Linked DNA regions of Rattus norvegicus. The protein of the gene in region 1 interacts with the protein of each later gene in a pairwise test. Links are inferred from orthologs where the notes say so. Each region holds a gene or a part of one and is shown on either strand. Other genes may lie near its edges.

Region 1 (8,064 bases):
ACAAACACTTAGCAACGTGAGTGAATTCCCATCCATCGACTTCTATTATTTTTCTTGATCCTCTATTTGTCCATCATTTGGTCAGTAGTAGCTTATTCAGGTGCTGGGTGCTCCTAGAAACAATTGGGAGCTTGTTTCCTGGGATCCAAAGATGGGCAGCTTACACTTCGGGAACTTCGGGTCTGGTTCACGGGAAATGGTATTCAGAGATAACTTAGGGGCTAGACGTCCACCAACATTTGGTTGATCATGATTTTGAGGTTTCAAAAGTGCATGGAGCCAGAAACTACTTGCATTAGAAAAATTTTAAAATACTGTTTGCATGTCCGTGTGTGTGTGTGTGTGTGTGTGTGTGTGTGTGTGTGTATGTGTGTGTGTGTATGTATGTATGTATGTATGTATGTATGTATGTATGTATATATGTACACAAACATGCTTTGGCACATGGTGGGAAGTCAAAGGACAACTTGCAGGCGTCTGTCCTGCCCTTCTACCATGTGGGTCTTGGAAGTTGAACTCAGGTCTTCGGGCTTTTCAGTAGGAGCCTTCATTCTCTGAGTAACATTTTAAAAGAGAACAGACCATACTGATATTTCAAAATTCAAGTTCAAAACTACAGAATTTTAATAAACTATTTTTAAAATTATTTTTACATTCCAAATTTATCCCCAATACTAGCACACGTATTTGCTTTATTCTCTTATATAGTTATAAAGTTTCCAGAGTAACTCTATATTAGCTTACATCACTGTCACAAATACCTCTGATAAATGAAGTTAAAAGAGGAAAGGTATATTTTTGTTTGCAATTTCATTTACAGTTTTAGACAATTAAAGACTGATTCGCCTTGTTGTTTGGGCCAGTGCAAAAATTTAAAGTATTTGGGCTATTATCACAAGTGATGGGATAATGAAATGTGTAGAGGTTTAAGGTTAAATAATATGTAAGTTTGACAGATACTACAGAATCCTCTTCCTGTGGATGTATTTTTCCATCTCTAGTAGGAATGAGTATAAGGGCTTATTTCTCTTAGCCTTATCTACAAATCATACTGTCCAACTTTGGGCTTTTGAGAAGACATAGTGGTTGTGGGTAGTTCAGTGTTATTTCTTCTGTTTTTCATTTCTGTATTTGTGTGTGTGTGCATGTGTGCCTATGGAAACAGAAGTCAGATCCCCTGGAACTGTAGTTACAGGCAGTTATAAGCTGCCCAGCTGGGTGGTGCTGTCTGAACTTGGGTCTTCTGGAAGCGCAGAAGTGCCCTTAACCCACAAGCTACCTCTATATGCCCAGTTTTGTGTGATTTTGATTGGAATTGTTGTTATGGGTCAGTTTGAGTAGCTTTTTATGTTAAGAGCTATTCGTGTTTACCTTTGTATGAACTGTTTATCTCTTGGTATAGATGTGTTAAACACATGATTTCTACAAGATGTTTATTAGGCTCATTAACACACTGAGCTGCTGGGATCTAAGACTGCAAGCATTTTCTCGGCTTGTTAGTTTGTTTCTTCGTGCTGCTTTGTCACATACAAGCTGACATCTTCTGCTGTCAGCTCCATCAATCTGTTCCAGAAACCTTGTTGCATTTGAGTTTGAAGCAACTTGGCAAGTGAGATGTTTTTCATACGGGATGATGTATATTTCTCCCAGCATTAGGTTGTATGGTTTCTTTTTTAGTATTTCAATCTGGAATTGGTTTATAATTTATCGGGGTATAAGATGTAAAGAATGGATGCAATTTGTTTTCTCATTTTGATCTTAATATTATTTAAGAAGTCTATTTTTTCCTAATGATTTGAGATACCACTTAGACTGTATATTATTAACAGGTTTCCTGTAACAAGAATGAAGACTAACCACCCGTGAAAAATGGTGACAGGGGAATTCTTGCTGTGTGGGAGGCTGGACATTGTGGGTTTAGAAGTCCACGATCATTTAATCTGCCTTTACTCTGAAGGCTAGGTTTTCATACTGTATCAGTGGGTAACTCACCCTCAGTCGATGTAAGTGGAAGTGGGTGTGGTGTTTTTTTCCAAATGGTTTTAGCCATTTCTTTATTAGAACTCATATTCTAAGGCTATTAATCATCAATTGTTTTTATTACTGTGACCTGGGGACAATCACTCAAACATTTTTTAATGGTATGTTCCCGAGTTCTAAAATTAAACAAACGACTAAAGATTTTTACTGCATGAATTTGTAAAAATTAATGTTATAACCAAATTCATGTTCATAAAAACATTACTTTTTATCAATTTATTTTAATAACTTCCCCCACTAATATTGTGGATTGTGAGGCAAATATTTACCCTGATTGGATATGAGACAGACTAGCAGGAGTCAGGAAACTGGTGGAAATTTTGAGTTCTTCAAAGGCAGGATCACAAGGGACAGTGGGTGGAGCTGTTCGGTGTGTATGTGAGTTGTTTTGATTCTAGCCTGTGTTCTGGGTTTCCTCCCTCTGTAAAATGACTAATGAAGGAACATCTGTTTGTTTAGGGGTATTTCCAGTCTACTTTGCCTAAGGCAATAGTAACAAACCTTATATACCATGACTGTTCCAGGCAAGAGCAGGTTTTCAGCACAAACATGATGATAAACATTCCCCCTTTTGACCTCTAGGCCAGACTCTCATAGTCATGAATCGTCCAGGCTGGGATCTGGAAATCGTACTTAGGAAAGGGAGTATAGGAACTTCCTTTTGGCTGGAAATCAAAGTCCCTGCTACCATGAACCTTAGTCTCTCCGCAGGATGAGACCTGGAAAGTATACAGAATGTAAATTACCTTCCCCAGCTGGCAATTCACTAGCCAGAACAGGTTGTTTCTGTGCCTTCGTTGAAGAACAGTTTCATATACCCCAGTGAAACCCAATTTATTTAATCTAAGGAGTGTTGAATTATTTTTATAACACTTATAATACTTTCAAATGAGAAGAATCAAAATTTAAAGAAAACTGCAAATTATCCTCTCAGGAAGAACAGGCAGTCAGCTAGCAGGGGATGCATGAGAATAGGTCTACCTTCCTCCATACTGCAGATGTGAGAAATGCAGTGAGTGGCCTGGAGACTGAACTGTCACATCATGTTGCAAATAGTAAGAGCGGTATTTGAAACCACTTGCCTCATAAAGGTTTTCTGCACAATGACTGTGATTTTTAAGTTTTTTCTTTCTCTCTCTCTCTCTCTCTCTCTCTCTCTCTCTCTCTCTGTGTGTGTGTGTGTGTGTGTGTGTGTGTGTTGGGGGAGTACTAGTTATGTGTTTGCATGTACATGGAGGTCACAGGCTGAAGACATGTATATTCCTCAATCTTAAGTTCTACCATAATGAAATGCTTAGTTTATTTTAAAATTCCTATTTTTAAAAAAAGAGCTTACTCTCTCTTTTCTCTAGAAGGTTCTCAAAATACGCTGCGGCAAAAGCTGGTATATTGTCCGGTTGCTCCCTCAGAATCTCCCGTGTCAGCCCTTCAAGAAGATTTCCAAATCCTTGTGGAATTCGGTAGTGGGTGTTGGAGAAAGGAATCGACATCTCCTCGGAAAGAATTGCCTATGGTACCTAAAGATTTAGTAAAAAGTGTCTAATTTAAATTACATAATCATAACTATCACAAACCAATTCATCATCATGACTCAAATCATTTTTTCAAACACACATACCATATTTTGGACTTATAAAAAGAAAAAAGTCACACAATCCAGGCCCTGGTGATCTATCTCAGCAGATCTGAGTTAAATCCATGCAGACCATATTGTGGACGAAGAGAACTGACTCTTACAAAGTGTTCTCTGACTTCCATAGGAAGGCTGTATCACCAAGGCTGTGCCCATACACATACACACTAAATAAATGAATATAAAATCCATCCCACCAAGTGTACCCATTTCTCCCAGAGTTTTTTTTTTCTTTTTCTTTTTCTTTCTTTTTTTTTTTTCCAGAGCTGAGGACCGAACCCAGGGCCTTGTGCTTGCTAGGCAAGCGCTCTACCACCGAGCCAAATCCCCAACCCCTTCTCCCAGAGTTTTGAATTCTACCACTGAACCTTTCTTTTTTTTTTTTTCCTTTCTTTCTTTCTTTCTTTTTCTTTCTTTCTTTCTTTCTTTCTTTCTTTCTTTCTTTCTTCCTTCCTTCCTTCCTTCCTTTCTTCCTTTCTTCCTTCCTTTCTTTCTTTCTTTTTTTTGACAGAGTCTCTCTACACAGTTCTGGCTGTTCTGGAAGTATGTAGACCAGGCTGGCCTCTAACTCAGAGATATATCTTATCTGCCTCTGTCTCCCCAGTGCTGGGATTCGAACCAGCCTGGTAGATAAAGACCATGCTCCATGCTCGGTGAATTATAGTACTATAAGTGCAGAACCATTAAATTGGACAAATACATACTTTTAAAGCTAGAGAACCATGATTTTCACTAGATATTAAGTACTTGTCTTTCTGTCCTTAAAAGGTGAGGGTAGATTGTGCTAGCCCACAATATTGAAGAGACAGTGATTGCTGAGAAGCTAGTATAATCAATCCCCTTTACATTGTTTAAAGTCTAAAATTAAAAAAAAAAAACAAACAACAAACTGGTTAGCGGGGGTGGGGGTGGGGCACGGTGCTGCACACTGTCAATTCCAGCACTTGGGGGGCAAGGGAAGGTGGATCTTTGTTGAGTTCCAGGACAGCCAGGGGCTACGCAGAGAAACTCTGTCTCGGAACCCAAAAACAACTAAACAAACAGACAAAAAAACTAGTCCTTCTAGAAATTATTATAATTTGTTGAATAGTTTCACCTTTTTTTCAGCCCCAACTTCTGAAGTTATGGCCTACAACGTTTTCAAGTGCCTCTGCTTTCCGACAAGGGATTGAGAAAGGGAGGTCGTGGTTTTGGGAGCCAGCTTTTGGAGTTTGGGGAGTCTTATTTTTCTGGTCTTGTCAGGCCTTCTTCTATTATTCGAGGACTGGTTTAAACATGGCTGACAAAAGAGCTTCGAGCCTGGGTTTGTGTTACCCCGAGAAGCTCAAAGGCGGCGCTGGTTGGGGTCGAGGCTGGAGGTCTAAAGGTTTAACAAGGCCTAACGTGTGGAGATTCTTCCCTTTTTTCTCTTTTGGGCACAAACAGGAGATTAGATATCGAATCTTGAGAGTTGTGAAAAGCGGGGGAGGACGGACGGTCGAGGGGGAAGGCAGGTCAAACCGTGGGCAGGACGTCGATGACCTAGAGTTCCAGGTTCTCCCAGAAAGGGCTTGCCAGGCTCCCTATCTGGTCCAGGAATTGCGGGAGTGTTGGGGATGGGGAGAGACTACGACATGAAGGAAAAAGGCGAAGCCTCCACATTGGTGAGGGAGTGGGGGAAACTGCCTCACCTCTTCTTTCTCTTCAAGCTGGTGCGGATGGTTCCAGTGTTTTATCTCGTTGCTGGGTAACCGTTTTTTCTTTTTTTTTCCTTTCTTTTTTTTTCTAAACTACGGCGGCCGGGAGGAGAGGGGAGCACCCGGTGCCGCGCCGTACAGCGGATGGTTTCGCGCACTGAAGGCTTGAGGGTGGGGCCCGCTAGGGTAACCCTTCCAGGCCCCGCCCACCACGCAAGATCCCGCCTCTGTCCTTATCCCCGCCTCCTGCCTGAGGGCTCTTCCTGAGAGCGGGTAAATTAGGATCATCTCAAACATGGTTTCCCCCCGGCCTGTTGGGCTAATGCTGCTGCTCATAATCGCGCGGGTCAGCAGAGGTGCAGGTGAGGTGTCACAACTCTAGCGGACGCTTGCCTTTCAGATCCTCTGCAGGATCTTGGCATGCGTCCTCTTTAAAGGTCGGCCTTGAGTCAGAACCGGTCTTACCCTACCTAGTCCTGGCCGCAGGGTACAGCTGGGCCCAGCTATACTGCCTTTTCCTTGCGGGGTACTTCACTTGCAGCATAGAAGGCAGAGAAGACATCGGTTTACCCACTGGGGCAGGCTCCAGTGTCCCCAGACCGAAGCCTTTAGGAGTGCTCAAAGAGAAGGGGGCGAAGCTAGTTAGATAATATTTGGAAACAGGTGACTGAGTCATCCAAAATATTTCCACACCTGCCCCCTCAGTGGTGCCCTTGGGGAGGGCTTCTATCGGGATGGGTGCCTTGAGGGAATTACATTTTACTAGTTTAAGTGGTTATTAGGGCTAAGAAATACAGCCCCCTCACTAGCTCAGAATAATTTAAAGTTCAGCTCTGACTTTTGATGCAGCTTGAGAGATATTAGTGGAGGGTAAGACTCATCACACTGGGGAGGGAGCTGATTCACATGGCCATTGTGCAGGTCACAACTTGTTATCTGACTAACCTGGGCTGGACATTGCCCATGGAGTTACCAAAAGATAGGAATCTATTGATTCAAAGTAAAGGGTTAATGCTGGATCCACCCACCTCTTTTCTTCTTTGGATCACTGAAAGAGTAGACCCCAAAGACTGTCAATAAATGAAATTTGAGGGGTTGTGAATATAGCTCGGTGGTAAAACTCTTGGCTAGAATGCTAGGAACTTGGGCTACCATCACCACAGCAATTAAAATGAAGGTGGAAATGACAAGAAATGGCATGATTGTGTTCTAATCAAGCACCAGCCAGACAGCAGCCTGTCAGTGGGTTTTCCATTTCAAAGCTAATACCCTATACTGATCGTCCCCATCTCTCAATCCTCTTATGATTTTGGGGACCTATCACAGGAGGTGGGGAGAAGGTAGAGCCACTGTTTTCTTAATTTTCTTTTTAAGGGCTGTCAAATTTAATATCACTGTTTTGTTTCCTTTGGGTCATATTAGGTAACCTTCCTTGATTACCTTGGCAGTATTCATTCATTTTTTGCTTCAGATCATCTCCCTTAGCTCTTTCTTGCACATCCTAACATCTTTCCTTTAACTCTCTCCTTTTGCTACATTTTTGTTACATTTTAACAGTGAAAGGACCTATAAATTCCGCTACCCAGTTTGAGAATGGTAACACTGTGATTTTTATCAAGACTGCCAGGAGAGTCCTCCTTAGTATGTCTGCTGGGTTCCCTTCAGAAGTAACTGCTAACCTAACATTTTTTGTTAGTCTACTTATCATGGTATCTTCTCCACAGCACTCACTCTTGTTTGTCACTTCAAGTTACAAAATGAAGGGAAACATCCAACACCTTAAAATAACCACGTTTGTATATGCCTGGCGTTTCTGAGGTGCGGTTCTTTTGTTCATTGTCCAGTTCCTCAGTATGTTTGTCTTTTCCACGTAGAATGTGAGCTTCATCAGGATAGGGAATATAATTTTTTTTGCATTATTATCACAATGTAACGGCAGCAAAAAGGAAATTGCAATACCTTGGGAATTAGATGACATGGATTCTAATTCTGTCATAAACTACCTTCTGAGGCCAGTCAAGGCCCGTCTTCAGTATCTTAAGCCCTCTGTCACACAAGTAAGCTCCTAGTAGATTGTAAGATCCTTGGTAGCAAGAATTTCTATCTATTATTGGAATTATTTTTCCTTCCAGTGTTACAGTCTCAATGTTAAAGTATCAGGAACCAATAAAGAGATATTTGTTGAATTCATAGCTGTTCTAATTATTCTTAAAAATTGCTTAATCTATTTGTGTCCTAGTCCCTGGACGGGTAATGTGGTTAGATTATATCTCTTGATCAGTAAGTAACATAATTATACTGTTATTTTTTTTCTTTTCTTTTCTTTTCTTTTTTTTTTTTTTTCTCGGAGCTGGGGACCGAACCCAGGACCTTGTGCTTGCTAGGCAAGTGCTCTACCACTGAGCTAAATCCCCAACCCCTATACTATTATTATAAAGATATTTTCCACCTCTAAGATTTTTTTTTCGCTCATCATAAATCCATTCACAAAGAGGTTCTATAAATGAATGTTGGCAAACACTGACTGGCTTGAAAAGGCATTCCCCATCCTATGGACTTTAACATTGTTGCCTGTGTAAGCAATATTTTCCTCACTTCTGTCCTTCCAACTCCAGTCTTCTCTCTACTTAGCTCTTATTTATGCATTTGCTTTTCAGCTTTTGTTCTGTATCTACCCAAGACAGGGCCCTCCCACACATATGCCTCCCGGTTTCC
Region 2 (8,220 bases), on another chromosome or scaffold:
GTGCCCCTTACCTTCATAGTTAATGCAACCGTTGCTGTCCTCATGCCCCGCCACTAGCATCTCGACTTCTTCCTCTGTCATCTTCTCCCCTGCAGAGGAAGGAACATTCTTAGAACTGCATGACGGTGAAATTTATCAAGGTGGCAGCTTAGCTCCACATGGTCACAGACCCTTACCCAGTGTGACTAGGACATGACGGATTTCAGCACCCATGACAGTGCCATTCCCTTCTTTGTCAAACACACGAAGGCCTTCAACATAATCCTCGTAGGTTCCTTGGTCCTTGTTCTTGGCCACAGTCTGCAGCATGGGCAGGAAGTGCTCAAAGTCCAGCACCTTCACATTCATCTCTGTCGTGTGGGAGGTAGAAGTGCCAGACGAGCAGTCACACGTGTTCTCAGGACACAGTGGTAGAGAACACAACTGACTGGCCAGAAGAGGGAGATCAGTGGAACTGGCTGAGATAAAACTTGCTCAAGGTTGGCGCATACACACACACACACACATACGTGTGTGTGTGTACATATACATATATGATGATTTTACCTGAACAACCATGAACCCACTAAGGTCTTGAAATGCTCACCATCGCTCTTGGGGTTCCCCAGGACCTTGAGCACCTCGGCGTTGGTAGGGTTCTGGCCCAGGGCCCGCATCACATCCCCACACTGGCTGTACAGGATCTTGCCATCGCCTGTTCGGTCAAACAGCTGGAAAGCCTCCTTGAATTCTGAGGATTCAGATGAACAGCAGCACCAGGGATTAACCCAGTGCTGCTGCCAACTCAACTCTAGCATGCTGCAGAGACCAGATATCTTGTCCTCCTGTACACCGAAGACTGCGCCTAAGGATCTAATTTCTATCAACTCAAATGCCCCGCATAAAGACACGCAGCCTTCTTCCTTACCTCAAGGTGGTAGCCATCGCTTACACACCCCCTGAGCTACAGCAGGCTAGGCCCTCCACCACCACTACACTGCTCGGCAGGAATTTGCCACCGCCCAGGCTAGGTCCTGCCCATATAAGGAAGTAGAGCAGTGGTCTGGACTCTAGCTTCCCATTCCCACCCTTCCCTTCCAGAGACCTTCCAGGGGGTGAAGCTAAGCCACGGGCTTAGCAAACTCTCCAGTCCCCATCTCAACAGAATATCAAGGCACTGCTCTTTACCGTATTGGCAATCCAAGCTTAAGGAGGGGGCAGTTATCACAGGAGAGGCAAAAGCAGCGGAACACAAGCATAAGAGACCCAACACACAACAGGCAGTAATCATTGTTTCACATACCCACACCACCCAAAACTCACCCAGTGGTTGGGGCTCAGATCTAGAGTGGAAGGGGAAGGAAGAAAGAATGAGAAAGAAAATGGAGGATCTAGAGCCGAGGAGAAGGAAATCCACGGGGCACCCTCCTGGGAGTGCTGGAGATGACAGGTTGGGATCTAGAGGAAGGGGTCCCTCTCGGTAAGGGTGACCTCAGTTGTGGGTCAGAGACTGCCTACCTGCGGTCTGGTCCTCGGTGAAGTCACACTGCTCGGAGAAGAAGGGATTGGTCAGTACTGAGGTCCAATCCCGCAAACTTCTCTCCCGGCTTAACAAACTTCTGTTTGAAGCCGAGGACTTGCTTCCCAAGGCAGAGAGAGCCCTAGACCTTCCAACCCCACATCCAACCTCCCAAAACCTGGGCGTGCCCACGTCCACCGCTTTTCCTACCCCCACCCGCGGTCCTCTCCCTGCCCCAAATCCCCCTAATCTCCCGATTCCCAGGGCCCACCATCTTGGCTGCTGAGCTATGCGGGACCTTTGCCGGCTGTAATGGCTCCGACTCGGGACCCAACCCCAACCTTAGTACGTCCCACGGCGCTTGACGTCACCCTCCGCAGTTTCATCCAATAGGCATACTAGTTTGGGCTCATGCCGATGACATCACTATATTAATAATGAGGTGAGGGGGGCGCTCCAACTCTGCTCAGGAGCACGGCGGAGGCCTAGGGTGTGACTCTTGGAAGCCTTTCTTCCGAACTGCACTAAGAGCAGGGGATTTGGACTTTTGCAGAAGAAAGGACTACCGCTCCCGTCCTTCCCCTTCCTCAAAAGAAACCAGTCGGAAACCAAAGCAGGAACCATGTTTTTATTTCAAAACCGTAAGTGCCCCCTAGTGGCAGGAACGCACTACTGGCCGCACAGGAGGTGGGGCAAGTTTCCGATCCCGCAGGTTCTACGTGGGGTGGGGTGGAGTTGGGTGGGGTAGAAAGAAAGTTGTCCAGCGCTGGCGGCTGCGCTACAGTCGGATGGGGAAACGCACTGCCTGCGCTTGTCTGGTTGACCGGGATCGTTGCCTCTCTAGAGGGCACTAGGGGCTGCGGAGCTCAGAGGCTTAGGATGTGCTTCAGGAAGGCTGCACACACGAGAGGAGAGGAGAGGACTTCAGAAACTGACCTTTGAGTAAACGAGGGTACACTCCCAACCCCCTCAAGACTCCTCACCCCCCTGGTCATCCTGCCCCCTCACCCTCATAGTTGATGCAGCCGTTGCTGTCCTCGTGGCCTGCCAAAACAGTCTCTACCTCTTCCTCAGTCATCTTCTCTCCTGAACCCAAACACAGTTAGAGCCTCTGCCTTCCCGTACTCACTAGTCCAAGCCACTCTCAGGGTGGTTCGTCCTCCCACCCTCCCTGTCGTCTTTCTGTATGGCACTTATCAACAGTTCCTTGGAGCTGCTAAAAGCTTTGATAGACAAAGAAACGAGCTGCAGGGGTTGAGACTTGCATGAAATCCACCCAAGTGTGGCTTGCAAAGAGGGCATGAGGCTCCCACCACGTTCCCTGCCCTCGGCTCATTGCTAGACATCTAGGCTCTACCAGCTCCTCCAGGTCCACCTGCTTCTCCATCCCACAGTTCTGGGCCCTGCCTCACCGAGAGTGGTAAGAACGTGTCTGAGCTCCGCTCCCATGACTTTGCCGTTGCCCTCTTTGTCAAACACACGCAGCCCCTCTAGGTAGTCCTCATATGTGCCTTGGTCCCGGTGCTTGGCCACTGCCTGCAGCATAGGCAGGAACGTCTCAAAGTCTACACGCCGGGACTTCAGCTCTGGCAATTAGACAGAGATGAGAGAGGGAAAGAGAGGGCGAGAGAGAGAGAGAGAGAGAGAGAGAGAGAGAGAGAGAGAGAGAGATATCACTGAGGTGTGGGATCCAACCTTACTATACATAGTGACTTTCATCCCTTTCAGCACTGAGGATGTTTTCCTTCCCTGTGTTTGACAGTTTTTGAGTCCTGAGATCCACCCCGGTCCTCTGTCACCTTACCAAGTCTGTTGAAAATTGATACTGTTACCAGGCACGGCAGTGCAGTCTTGTAACCACAGCTACCAGGCAAGTTCAAAGCCAGCCAAAACAACTTAAGACTATCTCAACGGGGGGGGGGGGGGGGGGGGGGCAGGGATGTATCGAAGTGGCAGGACACACGCAAAGCACAAAGAGAGAACCACTACACTAGTCCATGTGTGGTGGCACACACCTTCAGTCTGAGCACTGACAGGCTGAGTTTGAGGCCAATCTGGTCTATCTAGTGAGTTCCAGGCTAAGCAGGGCTATGTAGAGACGACCCTATATAATAATAATAATAATAATAATAATAATAATAATAATAATAATACCAATAACCCTATCTAAAGAATATTAATTAAAAGTGTAAAGAGAGAAAGAAAACTGGCAACTAGGGCTGCTGTAAGTTCCAGGCCAACCTGAGTAAAAGGAAAAAGAAAAAAGGACTTCCATAATAAAGGGCTTGCCTGTCTTGCCTGAGGCCCTGGAGTCAACCCAGCAGCACCACATAAACTGGAGCAATCGAACTCCAGTGGGCGGTAGACAGGAGGTACAGGTAGGAGGATCAGAGTTCAAGGGCATTCTTGGCTGCGATACCGAAATTCTGTCTCAAAAAACAGGATGAAGAGAAAGTTGCTGGCTAGAAATGGCACTCCGTGGCACGGGCAGAACGCTGTGTTCAACCTCCAACACCAAGAAGATGGAAACCCCACAAATCTCAAGGTTCCTCTCACCATCACTCTTGGGGTTCCCCAGGACCTTGAGCACCTCGGCGTTGGTAGGGTTCTGGCCCAGGGCCCGCATCAGGTCCCCACACTGGCTGTACAGGATCTTGCCATCACCCACTCGGTCAAACAGCTCAAAGGCCTCTCTGAACTCTGAGATGTAGGGAGAAGGCAATGTGACCAGGGATTCCCATCACCTCCAGCCGGAAGGGAGGTTTGCTTTAGAAATTATGTGCTCGAGCTGGGCACAGGAGGGAGGAGAACAGGACAAGTGTGGGAGGTTTCAAGGTCAGGACTGTCGTTAGGGAACAGAGAATCGGACCAGGAGTTTGGTGTTGGACAATGGGGCTTAGGAAACAGGCTTCTCCTCACCCTCCAGCTGGTCCTTGTTAAACTCGATCTGTAGGGGACAAAAAGGGCAGGTGAGGAGATGACAGGGCTTATTCAGTCCCTCTCTAGCACAACCAACTGGCAGCCACTTCTGGGGAGGGGCCCAAAGGGATGAGGCTGGGAGCCCGGCCACTTTAGTCCCATTCCCAGCCCTGGGCTTTGGGAGCACCCCAAGAGGAATTATAGGGGGAGGGTTTCTTGGGAGCAGGGTTAATCCCATACCACCTGTTCCCTTCCCTCCCGCTACCCCAGTCCTGCATCCCTCACATAACTGGGGGCTGAACAAAGGCTAAATTTACCCCTGCCCCCAGCTGTGATTGTCTAACAAGTCTGTCCTCTTCAGTCTCCCCTCCTGGGGTTCAACAGCTGAGCCAGGAGCAGACAGCACCTCTCTCCCCTGGAAACTGGCCTGGCCTGGGAGCCCCAACCTCATTCTAGCGGTTCATTCATTCCCTACCCTTCCCACATCTTCCCGGTCCCCAATCCCCAAGGCTGCACTGCACCTTTGAACTACCCCTTCCAGATTCACACACTTCCCAGGACTCACCACCACTTTGGAGAGATCAACAGGGGGCTCTTGGGTTTTCACAGGGGTCTGGGGGGCAGCTGGCTCGGCCTTGGTCTTGGCTAGAGGGGTCCCTGCTGTAGACTTGGCAGCAGGCTTAGAGATGGAGGGTCCTGCTGGCTTCTTCACAGGAGCATCCTTCTTGGGAGGCATGATGTCAGGTGGCAGAAGAGCAGTGTGCCGACAGGGGCACCATCTCTGTTTAAATAGGCAGGGAGTCTGGGGTGTCAAGGGGCGGGGGCAGCGGCGGGGACAGGGAGCCAGTTGGCAAGGGTGAGGGAGAAGAAACTTCTGCCTGTCTGCCCTCACTCCCCTGGCCGCCTGTGGTAAAGAGCTCTTGCCCCCAAAGTATTCTTCCTCCTGACACCACTCCCCTAAGGCTGAACAGAATGTTTTCTTTAAGGGTACAGGGAAGAAACAAGGGACTTCTCAGAACAGGGACTGGTAACCTCCAGGGTGACGATAGGACGTTTGCCAGTGATTCTGAGATAGGAGCTAAGGGAAGAGAGAAAAAACTAAACTAAAAAGCAAACAAAAGCTTTCATTACTTTTAGACTGTGGAAAAGCCCAAGCAGAGCAAGGACTTAGGGGTGGCATGGGGGTATGGGGGTGTGAAGGGTATGGGGGTATGGGGGCGGGACAGAGTAACAACCTAGTGTCAAGTGGGAAGTTTTAAAATATGTTCTGGAAACATTAAAGGTGAGAGAAGGGGGTCTTTTCACTCCTTTCTGCTCATTCCTGTATCTTTAGAACTCGAAGTCCCTGGGCCCCCACCTACCCCCACCCCCGCACTGTAACCATAGCATGGCATTACCCACTGAATCCTACACCTAATGCTGATTTAGGGGTTCCAGTGTAGGCAAGGTTTAGCATCTGTCACATATAATTCCAAAGAAGGAACATTTTCCAACAAGACAATGTTATTCAAATCAGACAAGAGGCTAGGATGAGGAGACACAGACAGACAGACAGGCAGGCAGGCAGGCAGGCGCTCGTGTGCGCACACACACACACACACACACACACACTCACACTCACACAGAGGGAGAGGACCCTGGGAGACAATGAGCCCTCTAATACCCCAAAAAGGTTACAGAATCTCCTAAGAAGTTGGTAGGTATCCACACTGGCACCCAACCAGTCAGGATCACAACAAAAACCTTGGCTCAGCTTTGAGTCACAAACCTTGCTGGAAGCGCTGGCAAAGGGAAGAGATGATGTTTGGGAGCTGGAAGGGAGTTCTGGCTACTCTCTTCTTGGATAAAGAAGATTTAGGTAGCATTCTGAGAGACTGGTCATTCCACTTAGGCCCTGGAGTTCACAGAGTGGCAGTGTGTCTTCCATTTGTAAAGGCGTCAGAATCTTTTTACTGCAAATTGTCCCATTTTTGGAAAATAAGGAATCCTTCCGCAAACAACACACCAGTTTCCCTCACTTACACTCACTCCTAAGCCTTAGAGAGGAAAAAGGCCCTCCCAGCCCCTCAAAACTCACCTTGCCGGTTCCAAGGAAGGGGCAGGTGGGGGGGCGGGACTCAGGGCAGCTCCGGTCCCTGAAGGGTTAACAGCGGCGGGCGCAGAGCATGCTGGGAGTCGTAGTCCACGCACGCCCACGTGCTCGCAGGAAACCTTCCCCCGGTGGTGAGAGTTGGCGGTCACTTCCGGCCCGTGGTGGCAATTGTTGACTCAGACACTGAGGCGTGCGCCAGTTCCGGAATTGAAAGGGCTTGAGACGTCCCCACCCTTGACCCTAGGGATGCAGACTCAGGGACGCCCGCAAGGCCAGGGGCGGGGCCGGGCGGTAGGCAGGCGGAGGCTGGGGCTGCTTTCGCTTCCTCAGGCCGTTAGCTGCGGCGTCACGTAACTTGAAGAGTTTCGCATTTTTATTTTATTTTTTTACACATTTGATCTTAGCCGAAAAGCCTAGAGGCTGGCGACTGAGGTAGATGTTAAGATTTACAGTTTAGCCTGGTCATCTGCTCCAGACTTTCCTCCGTGTGCAGGCGTCGGCTGACGCCGCCTATGCAGCGCGTTCGTCCCCGGGAGATCCCCAACAAATGCAGCGCTGGGCTCTGCAGCCTTTCCTTCCTTTTCCGACACCATTGCCCAGCCTGAGTGTTTGCTTTCTCCCTAGCGTTTACCGAAGGTTTGGGTGCAGAGAGGGAACCGACCCACCGTCCCGAACCACATAAATAAATAACTCTGGCAGCGCGCCTCATCCTAGAGCTTGTGCAAGAAAGTGGACCAGAAATAGCTCAGGGTAGAAGACTCCCAGCGGCACCGTAGGAAGAATGAGATATAAACCAATTTTGTAGCCAGAAGCTAGAGAAAACTCCGAAGAGTAAAAAGGTCTGTACGGGTGCAAGGGATGTAGCGCAGTTGGTAAAGTGCTTGCTCCCCATGTATAGAGCTCTGGGTCCCAGCACTCAGGAGGTGCAGACAGGTCAGTGGGCACGTAGGGAGTTCAGGCCAGCCTGGGCTAAGTGAGATCCAGTCTCAGAGCGGAAAGAAAAGGAATAACCTGATACAGGAAACAATATTCCAGGTGACTGCTCCGCAGACTGCACACTAATAAAGGGAGTGACCTCTCTCGAGGTACTCTGTGGTGCTGATCAAGACTTCAGGCCCCGCGGAGCCTGTACTGTCATTTGGCCCCCATGTAAAATAACTCTCATGATTAGACATGTTAACATTTTTTTTTCATTGAGACAGGGCCTGTCTACATAGCGCTGACTGTCCTGGAACTCAGATCCACCTGCCTCTGCCTCCCTGTAGGGGATAAAGGCTTGCACCACCATGCCTAGCCCAAAGTTTTATTTTTATGTGGGTGAAGATCCAGGACAGCCAGGGCTACAGATGAGAGGGGTCGGGGTGTGTATGTGTGAGGAGAATCGGAAGTCCTGAGTTAGTCTCGGCTATGAAGTTTTAGTCCATCCTGGGACACAAGAGCTTGTCTTAAACTTGAAAACAAGAACAATGAAGCAGACGTGGTGGTACATAAATGTAATCCCAGCTTTGGGAGTGAAGAAACAAGCCTGGGATATACAGTGAGAAGCTGTCTCACCCACAACAGTGATTAAGTGCTGAAGCGAGAGCTTGCTGGTGGAGCAGTTGTCTGCACCGCTCAGGTTCTGGGTTCAGTCTCCGTCATCATCAAAAAGGAATCATTTTCTTTTTGAGGCAAGGTGTTTTATACTGATCTTAATAGATATGTAGTCCAG

The links.
Region 2: the proteins of Spa17 (region 1) and Myl6bl1 interact in binary tests that used the Homo sapiens proteins (3 or more experiments, as listed by UniProt). The two-hybrid records come from large-scale screens. The link is inferred for Rattus norvegicus from reciprocal best matches to the Homo sapiens genes SPA17 and MYL6B.

What each region holds. Positions count from the first base shown.
Region 1 is NC_086026.1:45,501,887-45,509,950, forward strand, and holds the start of Spa17 (sperm surface protein Sp17), read right to left. Parts: upstream 5,377-8,064; 5' UTR 5,344-5,376; intron 4,906-5,343; exon of another isoform or gene 4,770-4,905; intron 3,558-4,769; 5' UTR 3,531-3,557; coding exon 3,377-3,530; intron 1-3,376. UniProt on the Homo sapiens protein: Sperm surface zona pellucida binding protein. Helps to bind spermatozoa to the zona pellucida with high affinity. Might function in binding zona pellucida and carbohydrates.
Region 2 is NC_086025.1:1,496,504-1,504,723, forward strand, and holds Myl6bl1 (myosin light chain 6B), read right to left. Parts: upstream 4,656-8,220; coding exon 4,418-4,655; exon of another isoform or gene 4,199-4,417; coding exon 4,055-4,198; exon of another isoform or gene 3,925-4,054; coding exon of another isoform or gene 3,893-3,924; exon of another isoform or gene 3,261-3,892; intron 3,085-3,260; coding exon 2,911-3,084; exon of another isoform or gene 2,585-2,910; coding exon 2,507-2,584; exon of another isoform or gene 2,457-2,506; intron 2,451-2,456; exon of another isoform or gene 2,394-2,450; coding exon 2,365-2,393; 3' UTR 2,112-2,364; downstream 1-2,111. Other genes in the region: Myl6 (myosin light polypeptide 6), read right to left, coding at 1-89, 177-350, 587-730, 1,498-1,525, 1,770-1,772. UniProt on the Homo sapiens protein: Regulatory light chain of myosin. Does not bind calcium.